Linked DNA regions of Mus musculus. The protein of the gene in region 1 interacts with the protein of each later gene in a pairwise test. Links are inferred from orthologs where the notes say so. Each region holds a gene or a part of one and is shown on either strand. Other genes may lie near its edges. The genes, in order: Prpf40a, Ccnl1 and Hnrnpul1.

Region 1 (5,179 bases):
GGTTCAGAGAACAGTGCAAACCCAGCATGTCTCTTAACATCAGCCTTAGGACGTACAGCAGTACTTTCTTACACGTACTTTTTTGATCCTTTTAAAAGTAAGGGGCTCTGCTGTTTCAACTCAAAGTGTTCAATGCCTTTACGGCATTAAAGACTGTAGATTTAGCCAAAGATCTTTTCTAAATGGGTCTCATGACGGAGCAAGGACGTCCATCTAGGGAGAGAAGACAAAAGGGACGATAGCAGTCTCGAGGGAACGCTTTGGGAGGAGAGTGTGAATGGGGGCGTGTGATGTACTGGCTGCACTTTACGCTGGACAGCCTTTCAAGGCCTGGGCTTCAATACCTTTAACGATCATGTAGGCGATGGCGAGAAGGAAAGCAAGGAGGACGGCGAACAGCAGCGAACAGAGAATGGAAAGGGCTTGGATGGGCCACCGCCGAGCCTGGGTTCGCTTGGCCGCAGTGGCCGGGAAGATGCCGTTGCGCTTATCCGGCAGGACCGGAGACCCGTCCCCGACCCGGGGGAGTAGCGGGGCCCTCTTGGTCTCCGACGACGCCCTGGCTGAGAACTCTGCCCGCAAGTCGCGGGCCACTTGGTCGCATCCCTCGTCTTCGTCGCCTTCGCCCTCACCCCAGCTGTCCCCCTGAGTGTAGTCGGAATACCCGGGCCGAGTCGCAGGGCCTGGGGTAACCTGACGGCGCCTCCGCGCGCCCGCAAACCTCCAACTCTCCACGAACGACATGGCGGGAAAGACTGAGAGTCCCGCGAAGGTCGGCTGTCCACCACCGCCACGCCCCGCCCCGGCTACAGCCAATCAGAGACGGCCGTCGGCGGACCCAACCACCGCGCGCAGAACCGTAGGGGAGTGCAAGAGCGGGTTACCCGGGGACTCCGCTTCCGGAGGCGCCGTGGGAGCGCGCGCCCATGGCCCGCCGCGACAACACTCTCATTTATTCCACCCTTTCGGGTCCTGTGGGCACGCACCTCTCGAGCCCCATGACCGCAGTTCCGCGCCTTCCTAACCGCCAGTCGCTTCCTCCCTCGGGCGAGAGATCTCTGTCTTTACCGCTCCCCGCCAGATACAGTTCGCGCCTCCGCCCTTCACTATGCCGGGCGCGCGCGCAGCTCTCGAGTTTCTCCCCCCCACCCCCAAAGGCACGACCCCCTCCCCAGGGCAACCGCGCGCGCGCGCACTAGGCCGCTAACGCCGGGTGCCGCTTCCCCCGCCCCACCCCCACCCCACCCCTGGTGGCCTCAGGTTTGTGGGGCGAACGTAACTAGGGCGAGGGGCTGGACGCCACTGCCCCACCCCCCGACGGGGTGCGGTGGCCCGAACCCGGGAATCTGGGTCCCCGCCGTGTCCCCTTTCCTGGGGGAAGTTGGTAGAGTTTCCCCGGCAGAGCACTCGACGCAGAAACTTCCTCCGTCCCCCCTCCCCCCCCCTCCATGCAGGCGACGCCGAGCGAGGCAGGGGGCGAATCGCCGCAGAGCTGCCTGTCGGTCTCGCGCTCTGATTGGACAGTAGGGAAGCCTGTCAGTTTATTGGCCCCGCTGATCCCGCCCCGCAGCTCAGGGCAGCCTTTACCCTTTGGCCCCGGCGGGCGCCAGCCACTCAGATCGCTTCTTGTTGGTATGTGCAGCGGCAGTGGCCGCCGACGGAGCAGTCTGAGCCCGACGATGAGGCCGGGGACTGGAGCCGAGCGTGGAGGCCTCATGGTGAGTGAAATGGAGAGCCAACCTCCCTCGCGGGGTCCCGGGGACGGGGAGCGGAGATTGTCCGGCTCAAACCTGTGCTCCAGTTCTTGGGTCTCTGCTGACGGCTTCCTGAGGAGACGGCCCTCGGTAAGGGATCGGCGGGGTAGGGGAAAGCGGCACAATGAAAAACCGAGTCAGAGAAACAGGAAGCTCTCTCCAAACGGAGAAGAGCATATCAGGAAGAGAGCTGCAGATGGTGGGCTACGTCCCAAGGGGGAGAGATGGAGGGCGGGAACACACAAAGAAATAGGTGGGACCTTGGACTTGCCAGTGGTCTTGGCCTAGGTAGATAGATGCCTTAGGAAGAAGGAAGGTGCTGGGCCCCGGGCGGACTGTGCATCTGAGAGCCCCAGGCTTGACTTACAGTAGGGACACTTAAGTCTGTGGGACTTAAGGAGCGGCTGCTGCGGTCTTATTTCTCCGGGAGTGGTGGTGATTTGCAGGGCTTGGGGGATTCGGTTGGGAGAATTGGCTGCGGATACTTAGTTTCAAGCCAGGAACAATGGAAGTATTATATTTTAAGCTCCCTAAAACGGCATGAATTTGTTAGTGTCTGGGACAGTTTAACTCTATTAAAACATTTGTGAAGTACTCTTGGGTACCCGCACTCTGTTTTAGGTCTTGTCCATATGAATGTAATTTTAAGTAGTATAAGCTGGTTATGTGTATAAAGGTGACGGAAGTTGTGTTCATCGTAATAATTTTTTAAGTTGGAATTCAATACATAGTCACCAAGTCTGACCAGTCATTTAACAGTTTGTTAAGTCATTGGAGAGGGGTTGTAATCCGCTAATGGGTTTAACTTTTCCATTATTTTGTAAATTTTCAGGCCCCATCTAATAATCACTGTAGTGTAATTAAGATTAACTTCAGTATATGCTAATACTGTAATTTAATCACAGTGATTTAATATTGTGCCTTAATTGATGGGTTTTAGTTGTTGTTTTTGAAATGACATTTTAAAGAAGCATTTAACTGTCTCTCACTCTCCCTTTTTATTATTTTTCAGATGGGGCATCCTGGCATGCATTATGCACCAATGGGCATGCACCCTATGGGTCAGAGAGCAAACATGCCTCCTGTACCTCATGGAATGATGCCACAGATGATGCCCCCTATGGGAGGGCCTCCAATGGGACAAGTAAGAAGACGCTTTCCCTTTGGCTTGCTTAGTTTTGTTTGAGTGTGTCGAGATGTATTTAAGATGTAAGTCAGTGGTGTACTTGCAGCCCTTTAAAGGTTAGTTTATATCCACGTAATGTCTTCAAACAAGACAAAACATTACATTGCTCATGTCTGTAACCAAATTTTGAATGTAGTAAGACTGTATGAGAAAAAATTAACTGACTTCCTCAACAAAATTAAGCTTTAAAAAAAATAAGCCGGCTGTGGTGGCGCACGCCTTTGATCCCAGCACTTGGGAGGCAGTGGCAGTTAGATCTCTGAGTTCAAGGCCAGCCTGGATCTATAGACTGAGTTCCAAGACAGAGAAACCCTATCTGGAAAACCAAGCAAATAATTTAAAGTGAGAGTATACATCTAATCTATTTAACTTAGTGACTTTATTTCAGGCATTATAATTATTAATGGTCTAGGAGTAAATATATATCAGAAGATAATCGTGGTGAATGTGTAAAGCCTAGCATCAGAAAAATAGTAGTTACTTGGGGTTTTCATGTAGAATGAATTTTATTCTTGGAGTATCTTCCTCTTGTTTGGGGTGCGGAGGGATTTTCTGCTCTATTACTAATTCTTTCCTGGACAGTGCCAAATAGGTAGCTCATTTTCTACTTAATTTTTGAATGATAATTGCTTCTATACTCCTACTTGTGCGTTGCCCCTTGAATCTCTAGCACAAATCGTAAATGGACGTTTTTTCGTAGGAGTGATTGGATTAAAAGGTTTTAAGATGACTCAGGAACACGGGTAGAATTTCTAGAGAAGTGGTCAAGAAAGACAAGAGCTTGAGGTGCATCAACAGTTCTGTCCTATGCTAGGTTCTATATAATACACTGATTCTTAGGTGGGCTGGGTTATTCCAGTTGAATATCTTGATAAGTCATGAAATTTTTGATTAGCAGAATATTTTAGAAAGCCAGTTGTATATTTTCTTTTGCTAATGAGTACTATTGAGTTTGACGATGGTTTGAGCAATGAAGGCTAAAGTTACTGGTGAAATTACAGGGGGAAACAGGAACTTGTGTTTTTTTGTTTGTTTGCTTTTTTTATTTTAAAGAGTAGAATGGCTCAGTGTTAAGTGGTTTTCTTTTATATTTGGAATATAGCCCTTAATTTTGGATAAGAAAATTGTATTCAAAGGCACCAAACTGAAAAGATTCTGCCTGCAGGAGTTCCTTATAGAAAAGATTCTTTTGCTCTGTTACTCTCGAATAATAATACTTTAAAACTCCCTAGGATATGCAGAGACAACTCTTGATTCTTTTTCTGTATCTTTCCATCTCTAAGCAGCACAAAACCCTTCTTGTTTTCTTGGTAGAGCTGCTCTAACTAGATAATGAGCTTTAAAAAATATTTATTCTCTAATGCTCTGGTTCTTATTTAAAATTAGTTTCTTTCCACAGAAAGATAAAATAAAACAATTTGCTACTGCCAGACGCTTCTCTCTTTTCTGGGGCCTTCTGTGTCCATTGGGCCAGGCAAGGTAAGTTTGCAAGGGGTTGGCCTGCTTACCCTTGCTGTCCCGGTGCTGTTGCACTAGCAGTCCTGAGATGCCAGCTACTCATTTTTAGTACAGTGCAGATTTTACTTTATTTTTTTAAGTAATTGGCATACACTGGTCACAGTTTGTTTTGTGGCCCCTTCTCTTTAGCTGTGCCAGTGACCATATTCCTAATTAGTTTACTTTATACTTACACACTTCAGATATTTTGACTTTTGCTTCATGGTTTTCTACTATTATTAATTTTTTTTTTAGTCTAATATGTTCTGTGCACCTGACTGTTTAAATGTTTAGCATTCTTCCTCTGTGAGGATAATGAATACTTTGGGAGACCAGATCTGAAAGTCTCAAGAAAATTGCTGTTATTTTCTCAAAATTAGGTCATTATCTAGTGCCCACTTCCTACCTAAGAGTATGGGTCCTAGCTTATGGTAAAGCTAAGCTGAATCCTTAAGGGCTCCAGGATTCTTTCTCAAAGCTCTGTGTACCTTTTCTTAATGATGAACTGATTGTTTTCCTGCATCATTTCTTCTCTTTGCATATGCTCTGGATTATTAATAGTAATTATAATGAGAAGATAATTGAGAAGAAGCAGGGTACCTGTATAGTTTTGCCATCCATCTTTTTTAAAGTTTGTTAAAAACTTTTAGATTTTCGGGACTAAGGGCTTTATAATCTTCAAAAATAGTTGATCTTTTATAACTGCAGAATTCTGTGGCCATTATTTCATCTAACATGGGCT
Region 2 (5,284 bases), on another chromosome or scaffold:
GTCTCACTAGGAAAAGTTTTGTCCCGACATACCTGTCCCCTGGACTTGTGTCTCCTATGCTGTCACAGAAAGTTTGGATATGAAATGCCTGCCACATACAGACCCTGTGAAGAGCTTGTCCTTAGTTAGTAGCACTGAGAGGTGATTTAATCACAAAGGCAAATACCTCATAAATGGGTTAATCCGACGATGAGGTCACAGCTGGACAAGCAATTAGGAGTTGGCAACCTACTTGAGGAGGGAGATCCCTGGATATATTCCCCTTTCTCTTTGTTGGTGGCAAGGGATTTGTTTTTACCAAGGTCTCACACCATAAAGTTCTGCCTACACAGTCCTACAGGTATAGGGCCACATGGCTGTAGCCTGAAACCTCAGAGACCATAAACCAAAATTAAACCTCATTGTGGACTTTCTAGGTAATCTGTCAGTGACAAAAAGCTATCACAATCATAAAATTTTTGTTTTTGAGGCTTTAGTTGAGTACTGGGATTAAAGGCTTGTGCCACCACTTCCTGCTCTATATAGCTTTTGTTTGGAAGAGGTTTTGTTTCATTTTGAAGATATTATATAGCTCTTACTGGCTTGGAATCAGTCTGACCCTCTAATCAGAGATCCACCTGTCTTTGTCTCCAGAGTGCCCGTCCCAACACACTTTGTAAAAATGAGCTGTGAAAATACCTTGCTTTGGTGACTAAGATGTATCCAAATTTTCAGTGCGCTCTATAGGTCCAAGGTTAAGACACTTTTCAAGAAAGTAAGCTTTAACAAAATAACAATTCCAACCCTTTGTACTGAGTCAGGAGATTTTTCTTTCTCCCTAAAGGCCATCTCAGAGGATTAAGCTGGAATAAAAAGATCATGGGAGGCCAGAGGCAGAAGGATCAATTGTTTCACGGTCGACCTCAGCTTTTGGGACTTTTAGTATGGATGGAAAAAGACCACAGCTCTCAGCCAGGCGGTGGTGGCGCACGCCTTTAATCCCAGCACTCGGGAGACAAAGACAGGCGGATTTCTGAGTTCAGGGCCAGCCTGGTCTACAAAGTGAGTTTCAGGACAGCCAGAACTATACAGAGAAACTGTCTCGAAAAAAACAAAAAAACCACAGCTCTCATCTTAAAGGGAATAAATGATGGGTTATCCTGGAGCCATTTTGATTGACCATGGTCCCGGAACACAGATTTAGGTTATTCCAAACTCCATGTAAGATGAGAGCTGTGTTTTTCTCTTCATTGACACAGGGATAGTTACTTTCTCTCCACTCTGACAAAAACCATCTCTTTAAGACGAGACTCCCCAGCGCAATGAAATCGCCCGTGTACTGTCCTCGCCATAAACCTATTTTTGGAACTAGGGATTTTCCAGATTACTGTAAACCCGGCGAAGTGAGGTCAGGGCTAGGCATGCCTTTCTAGGCTACACCCCGACACCCACGCGCGCTCGGAGCTTTCCGGAAACCCCAGGCGCTCAAACTGGGAAGCTGCCCGGTTCAGAGTCACTTTGTTACACTCCGGTGTCGCCGACCGCCGGACTGTCACCAACGCGCAGACCGTGCAGGGGTATCGGGGCCGACTCACCAGGCCAGAGTCCGGGTTATCCGGTGACTAAAGCCATTACCACCCCTGAGCCGCCAGCACCCTGCCCCGCCCTGCCCATCCGGACCCCTCCGCCCGGTGTCACCGACCGAAGCGCGGAGGAACTCGTTGGCGCGCGCGGGGAGTGGAGTGGGGTGGGGTAGGGCGTGTCGGCGTGGTGACGTCAGGGCGGAAGCGCACGCTGCGTGCGGCGGCCTGGAAGCCGGCGGTCACGGGAAGATCCGTCGCGCCGAGGACGCTGGTTAGTCTCGCTTTGGGTTCCGGCTGCGTCGGGCGTGCGTGGAGCTCGCTGGAACTATGGCGTCCGGGCCTCACCCGACCTCGACCGCTGCCGCCGCCGCCGCCGCTGCCGCCTCCGCCTCGTCCGCCGCCCCGAGCGCGGGCGGCTCCAGCTCCGGCACGACCACCACGACGACGACCACGACCGGAGGGATCCTGATCGGCGACCGCCTGTATTCGGAGGTGTCGCTCACCATCGACCACTCGCTGATCCCGGAGGAGCGGCTCTCGCCTACCCCGTCCATGCAGGACGGCCTGGACCTGCCCAGCGAGACGGATCTGCGCATCTTGGGCTGCGAGCTCATCCAGGCCGCCGGCATCCTCCTCCGGCTGCCGCAGGTGAGAACCCCGGCTGGTTGCGGGCCTCTCCGCCGCGGCCAGGTTTCTCCGGAGCCTGCGCCGGGCGGCGGCGGCGGCGGGAGCTCGGGCGGGCGAGGGTGGGGATGCGGGGGCGGGCGGCGCCGCGCGGCCCGGGCGGGGGAAGGGAAGCGAGCGGCCGCACAAAATGGCGGCGGCGCCTGGTGCGGGCCCGCCTGACCCCGGCGCTTCCGTTCTCCTCTCTCGTCTGCAGGTGGCGATGGCTACAGGGCAGGTGCTGTTCCATCGGTTCTTCTACTCCAAGTCGTTCGTCAAACACAGTTTCGAGGTAAGCGCGGCGGAGGCGGACAAGAAGGGATTTCTTCATCCGGAAGCGGGGAGGAAGGGGGTAGGAACCAGCTTTTCCAGAAAGGGAGTGGTTAGCTTAGGCCTTTGTACCTCGTTCCCACCCAGAAGGAAATGGGGCCCGTAGAGCAATGTTTCAAGAACTAGAAAATGGATCCCCAGTTCACGTGCTCTGTTAACCAAGAACTACGTTTTCAAGCCATTGCACAATTCTAGCAAGAGGTAGCTTGATTCTGACCCAAAATTAAGAGCAGTTGAGCAATAAAACGTAAGAGCTGGTCTAAAAATGTCAGCTTCGATTTTATTTCGCTAAAAAGCCCGTTGTATCCTAAAGAGGGTTCTTTGCCGGTCCTTGGTGACCCACATCCTTGGGCAGGCAGATGTACATACAGATGGAGTTCCTGGAAGCCAGGACTACACAGAGAAGCCCTATCTAAAAACAAAACAAAATAAGGGTTGTTAGACTTTGTTAAACTGTTTCTAGTTTAACTTCACTTGGATTTTTACCTGGGTTCTTTCAGATTGTTGCTATGGCCTGTATTAATCTTGCGTCAAAAATCGAAGAAGCGCCAAGAAGAATAAGAGATGTGATTAATGTATTCCACCACCTCCGCCAGTTAAGAGGAAAAAGGTAAGATTGGCCTGTTGAACATAGTATCTCTTGCTGTACTGTGCACCAATCATCCAGTCAAAACATCTTCTCCCCTCCCTCAAGTCAGTGTGGATGCAAAAGAAAGCGGACATTAGGTGCTGAAATTCACGTAGGAACATTGAAACTTTTAAAATCCCCTCCATTAACCAGCTATCTGAAGTTTGTAGAGACAGTTGCATTGTGGACAATTCTAGAGTGCTGTGAAGCCAGTCCCTTGGCTTAAGATTAAACAAGAAAGGGAGTACGGTTGGCTCAAGTGGGAGTGTATTCTGTAAGTTGTGTTTCCCCTCCCCTCTCTGGAAAACTGAAGGCTGGACATGTAAGCCCTGTAGTTCAAGTTAATGTTGTGGCAAAGTTCCGTGTAGGTCGTTTTTCTGCTTGGAGTCCCAGTTTCTTCATCAATTGAGGTTGGCTTTTGTTAGAGTACTTCTCAACATTGAACTACGATATATCGCATAATGCCGCATCTGAAAGGACTGGAGGATGATAAAGTTTGAAGTCAAAGGGATTGAACAGGTATTCTGTTTTGGTCAGATGTAGTCTCAGTGAGTTCCTTAGAAAAATAACTCATTGAGTTGCTTCAGATAGGGCTCTTTATTCGATCTTGTAAGAAAATAGAGTCTGAAACAGTATCTTTTAGGTGTAGTGATACCCTGGTAACTTTATGTGGGCCTATAAGGCAGTACCAAAGCTTGTTGCAGTACTCCAGGCTCTACAGGTGATTCTAGGACAGGCTGATGGATATTTGTGGTGTAGATTAGTTTCTAAGGAACTGTGAGCTTGGAAGGAATTTAGCTATGACAAGATAACCTGTTTTGGGAGTTGGGTGTTGCTTAGTCCTAATGCGTATTGAACATAGGTAGTCTTTATTGTGGAAGCTATAAGTTGGTGGTAGTGGAAGTTTGAAATGAGTAACACAGTCAATTTTTATAGCATTTTTTTCTCTATACTATTCAGCCCCATCTTTTCTAACTATGTGCCCAGATACAATTTCTTCTGTTTGAAAACATTTTTAGTTCTTTGTGAAGAAAGTTGAGAAATGGGGGAGTTTCAAATTAGTGTTTAGTATGTTCTGAGCTTATACTTGTATTTTAGATTACATGGCTGATTTTTTTTTTCAGGGTGTTTTTACAAAACACTGAAATACAGAATTCTTATTTTTAGTGAATAAAGGAACATTTTCTAGTAGTATATGAGTTGTTGAGCCAACTATAATCACATGATCGTTTGGTGTTTTTCTGTGGGACTTCTTCCTTCCTAGGTGTCAGAATAGGATCATCTTTTTATAAAACTTCAAAATTTAAAATAATTCAATCTGACTGGCTTGTATTGGATATAAACTTCATTTTTGATCATCATTAAAGAGAAATTGATTTTGTTTCAATGTTTCAAATTTGATTATAGCATGAAATTCTTAAAGAAGTTAATTGCATGGAAGCCCCCCTTTTAAAAGCAGGATATAAGTGTTTCTATGCATATTACAAGTTTACTCAGACATGTAACTTGTATATGTTATTAACTTCAACTCTTTTTTCCCTTGCAACCGACTATACAGCGACCAGCTACATTTACCAAAGCCTGGGTGATGTGGAGTGGTACATAGAGATGAAGCTGTCGTCATGGCAACAGTGAGTGAAGTATCGAAATCCCCAAGGAGAAGCCAGTGTTCTGAGAATAGGTCACTGGAATCGGGGACTAACAGGTTGGCCACTGGTGAACCATTTAGAGAAAAACAAACAAACAAACAAAAAACTCCTGTTTCTTGTTAAAAGCTTTTGTCTTTGCTGTCCAAGTTATTAAAACTATAGCTTTAAAAGGTGGTGGGGTTTTTATTTATTTTTCTTTTTTTCTTTCCCTTTTTCCCCCCCATAGGGCATGGTTAGAAAGTATTCATAAATGTTTTACTCTGATACTCTTATTGGTTTGTCTTGAATTTTAGTCCAATTTGTGCAAATTAACTAGGTTATTCTATGGCCTTGACAATTACAAGGGGTACATAGCCTTTTCTAGTCATGGCTGCTACATGTAGATAGTACGATCAAGTGTTTGAAGAAAAACAAAACATTTCAGTCCTCAGTTTGAGATAATTGACTTATCT
Region 3 (4,083 bases), on another chromosome or scaffold:
CACTTGTGTTGAGAAGAGGAGGCAGGTCTGAGGTATGGCCACGGGTCTGCGGCTCTCTTCCCTCCAGCCTGTCCTTTTTTTTTCCCTTGCAGTTGCTGTTCAGCTGTGTCAAACATAGAAATGGCTAGATTCTCCCTCTTCCCCAAAGGTGGAGGTAGCTGCAAGCATTGGCTCCCATCAGCAAGATCATGTCTTTTAGGCTGTCACTGGCCTCATTGGGTCTATAAGAAAGCACTCCACTGAGTCACCTTTTGCCCATCATGGGAGGCCAGGGTCCAAAGGTAGATAAGTAAGGACCTTGTCCCTTAATAGCTCCAGACCCTGTTCCATTTCTTAGGAAGCCAGTGCCTGGGTTCTGGTGAACTGAAGCCATCTCTTTTATTTCACAGCTGTCTGAGTACCCATTACATGCCAGGGAGCAGCTGGGAACACTTGCCAGGAGCAGATGAGTGCTCCTAGATGCCACCCAGCCAGCACATTTCCTAGAATGAGAGTTTGGCAAGACTTAAGTTCAGCGCTAGCTCCAACAGAACCTGACTTTGACCTGGGACAGTCAGCTTGACCCTTCTGGTCCTTGTTTCCACATAAAGGACAGAAACATTACTAGGAATCACTTGTGAAGTTTCTGTGAGGTGATGGGGACTGTAGCTTAATGAAGCCTCTGGAACTGGGCAGACCTGGGTTAGTCATTCTAATAGTGTGACTTGGCCCAACAACCTCGCTTAGATTTTCTTTTTAGAGTTCATTATTTTTTAAATTTACTTTATGTGTGTGTGTTTATATGTGTTTGTATGTGCCCCACCTGTGTGCAGTACCTGCAGAGGTCAAAAGAGGATATTGGCTTCCTTGAAACTAGAGTTATAGACAGTTGAGTTACTGTGTAGGTGCTAGGAACTGAACCTGGAGCCTCTGTAAGAGCAACCAGTACTCTTTTAAATATGTATGTATGTATGTATGTGTATGTACTGTAGCTGTCTTCAGACACACCAGAAGAGGGAGTCAGATCCCATTACAGATGGTTGTAAGCCACCATGTGGTTGCTGGCATGTGAACTCAGGACCTCTAGAAGAACAGTCAGTGTTCTTAACCGCTGAGCCATCTCTCCAGCCCCAGCCTCAGCTTCCATCTCTAAAATAAAGCTAGTGAATATGCCAGGCTTGCTGATGAGATGGAATGGGTTACTGATCCACTCTGCATGAAAGGCTCCTAGCATCTTGTCACCACTGCTTTTCTCAGCAGCTCTCACAGTGGCCATTTGCCACCATTTCCTGAGTACCCAGCACTTTGTGCATGCAAGCTTATTGAACTACCAAGGCACACCAAGAGCGAGACCAGGCTGACATTGTAGACTGTGAAGCAGGTCTTTGAACTGCCTTGTGTGCTGCTGCTCTCGGGTTTCAGCCTAGGGTCAGCTGCTTCCCAGACCCATCCTTGCACTTTAGAACAGACTTGCCTCCATCCAGGAACCTGTGTGCATACCAATGTGTGCTGTCTGTCTCATGGAGTGTTTGCCTTTTTCTACTCAGCCGAGTTACAGCCAGCCACCCTACAACCAAGGAGGCTACACCCAGGGCTACACAGCCCCACCACCTCCACCTCCGCCACCACCTGCCTACAACTATGGGAGCTATGGCCCCTACAATCCTGCCCCCTATACACCCCCACCACCCCCAACTGCCCAGACCTACCCTCAGCCCAGCTATAACCAGTATCAGCAGGTGAGTACAAGATGGGCCTTCCGGTAAGGCTTCTGGGAGCATTCTTGGGTGTGCATTCAGATTTGGGTTCCTGCCTGTTTCTGAAATATGGGCAGCTGCTTGTCTCAGGCTTTTGATAAACTGGTCTTTAATGGCCGATGTGTAGCCCTGGACCCCAGTGCAGCAAACCTTCCTAGCTAAGCTAGGCCTCCAACGTAGCCAAGGGGTGCCAAGTTCCATTCCAAGTTGGTGCTGGGGCTGCCACACCTGAAAAGGACAGCCAGCCAGCAAGCCACAAGACCAAGACTGCTTTCCCATTTATGTGACATCAAGTCACCCCTTACCTTTCCAAAGCATTTTGGTTTCTGTCAAAGAACCCATGTGATGAGGGTGGACCACAAAAGGAGAGAAGGGACAGTCTGGAGTGCAAGAGATAACTTGATATTCTTGTTCTCTCCCCCAGTATGCCCAGCAGTGGAGCCAGTACTATCAGAACCAGAGCCAGTGGCCGCCATACTACGGGAACTACGACTATGGAGGCTACTCGGGCAGCACACAGGGGGGCACAAGCACACAGTAGCCGGTGCTGGAGCCTTCAGAGGCTCGTGCCGGCTGCTTCTAATAGCACCTGCCTTGGCCCCTTTTTCCCCTCTGAGTCCTGTGGTGCTGGGGACAGAGTTATCCCAGGGCTGCCTCTCTCTAGCCCACTTTTTCCAGAGGAGCTTCTCTCTTCATACAGGCCAGGCATTTTCCTCTCTGGATTCCAACAGGCAACAGTGAGCTTTTCTTTTATCTTTGTCCCTCCACTTCCTCCTCCCCTGCCTTCTTAGCTAAAGAAGCCTCCCTTGTGAGGCCACAGTGACTGGGGAGGAGCCTTGCCTGTCTGCCCCTCCCTACTCTGCTTTTTAGCCCCTTGGCTTCCCAGACTCTCATGCAGTTGGTTGTAAATTCTTCCAGGAGCTGTTTTTCTGTCTACTTTTCAGGATTTAAAAAAAATTTTTTTCAAAAACTTTAAAAAAAAAAAAAGTTTAAGAAGCAAATTGCAGAGGGAGGAAGCATTGACTTTTTTTGGTAATTATGCTTTTTTTTTTTTTTTTTTAATTTTTAGAATTTGTCTGTTTTTACTGTGGGTCAGCCGTTGATACTTCATCAAATAACCATTTCTTTGCTGAGTTCAGGTAACCGAGGAAGAGCCACACCCTCGAAACAACAAAATCACCTTTAACCTAACTTTTTATATGATGTCTCAGTTCCCCGTAACTTTGCACACAAGCGTCTGTTCAGTTGGATTGTAACTGCTTTTTGTACTTGGAGAGAGTGTGACTATTGAACTTGAAACCTTTTACTCCAGGAGTCGTGGTAGTTTCTGGTGGGCATAAGCGGGTGAGAGGGTGAAGGGAAGGTGGGGGTGGGGCCAGCTTCCCTTTAGACCCTAAAGTTCCTCCACCACCACCACCACCACCACCTCCACCTCCACCACCACCTCCACCTCCATTGCTCTTCCAGGTGCCAGACCTGCAATGTTTTACAGTGGTCCTTTTGATTACTCTCACTTCCCGAATGTTCTAACCGGACCTTAGCAAACCGCACTTATTACAAGATGTTTTACCCTGTTTTGTTTTGTTTTCTTTCAATAAATGACATGGCACCTCTTATCAGGAAGGAAGCAGGGTTGAAACCCTGAAGTGTTACTGCAGTTGGCCTTTAATTGGGATGGGAACCTTTGAAGGGGAAATGCCTCGATCATTTATTTAAACAAAGTGGGTCTGTACTTCACATAACCCAGATGCTCCTTGTGCAGGGACAGACAGGTGAGAGCTGTAAGAATGAGACTATGCTGGCGCAGGCCCCTCTCCGGGTGTGTTGCCCAACCTACCCTAAGGTCCAGCCTGGATGCTGCTCTCAGGGTGGCCCTGTACCGCCACCTGTGCAGGTGTTGGCTGCCTACTCTTCCCTACCTATCATCCTGAACAGTTCTAGGGATGTGAGCACTGCAGAAATGACCCTAGCCCCTCTTCTTGGAGTTCCTCCTCTAGGGAATACAAATTTGTAACCAGTTACAGCGCCAAGCATTTAGAGAGACCCTGAAGTAATAGGCAGGGCTTTCTGGAAAAGAGGAAAATGCAGGGTGAGCTGTGGGGTGGGACTCTAGCCCACTGTCCTTTCTAGCTTCATTTCTCCTGTGCAAGCTGTGTTTTTCACATCTGATGCAGTGTGTGGGCAGCTCGCCCAGCTCCCTTGTAGAAACTAGGGAGCCTTTGAAGAGCCACAACCTATCAAAAGAAGCTGGGGGTTGTGACAAGAGCCTGTATCCAAAGGTATGCATACCACTTACAGTGCCCCAGGACCTAGGTGCAACATGGCTAGACACCAGGAGGGAGTAGAT

What was found.
Region 2: the proteins of Prpf40a (region 1) and Ccnl1 interact in binary tests that used the Homo sapiens proteins (3 or more experiments, as listed by UniProt). The link is inferred for Mus musculus from reciprocal best matches to the Homo sapiens genes PRPF40A and CCNL1.
Region 3: the proteins of Prpf40a (region 1) and Hnrnpul1 interact in a two-hybrid assay, tested with the Homo sapiens proteins (2 studies listed by BioGRID and IntAct). The link is inferred for Mus musculus from reciprocal best matches to the Homo sapiens genes PRPF40A and HNRNPUL1.

Annotation. Positions count from the first base shown.
Region 1 is NC_000068.7:53,187,688-53,192,866, reverse strand, and holds the start of Prpf40a (pre-mRNA-processing factor 40 homolog A), read left to right. Parts: upstream 1-1,634; coding exon 1,635-1,844; intron 1,845-2,766; coding exon 2,767-2,898; intron 2,899-4,339; exon of another isoform or gene 4,340-4,419; intron 4,420-5,179. Other genes in the region: Arl6ip6 (ADP-ribosylation factor-like protein 6-interacting protein 6), read right to left, coding at 345-744.
Region 2 is NC_000069.6:65,954,734-65,960,017, reverse strand, and holds the start of Ccnl1 (cyclin-L1), read left to right. Parts: upstream 1-1,768; 5' UTR 1,769-1,889; coding exon 1,890-2,210; intron 2,211-2,442; coding exon 2,443-2,517; intron 2,518-3,055; coding exon 3,056-3,165; intron 3,166-4,741; exon of another isoform or gene 4,742-4,791; coding exon of another isoform or gene 4,792-4,888; exon of another isoform or gene 4,889-5,284. UniProt on the Homo sapiens protein: Involved in pre-mRNA splicing. Functions in association with cyclin-dependent kinases (CDKs). Inhibited by the CDK-specific inhibitor CDKN1A/p21. May play a role in the regulation of RNA polymerase II (pol II).
Region 3 is NC_000073.6:25,720,441-25,724,523, reverse strand, and holds the end of Hnrnpul1 (heterogeneous nuclear ribonucleoprotein U-like protein 1), read left to right. Parts: intron 1-1,526; coding exon 1,527-1,718; intron 1,719-2,160; coding exon 2,161-2,277; 3' UTR 2,278-3,363; downstream 3,364-4,083.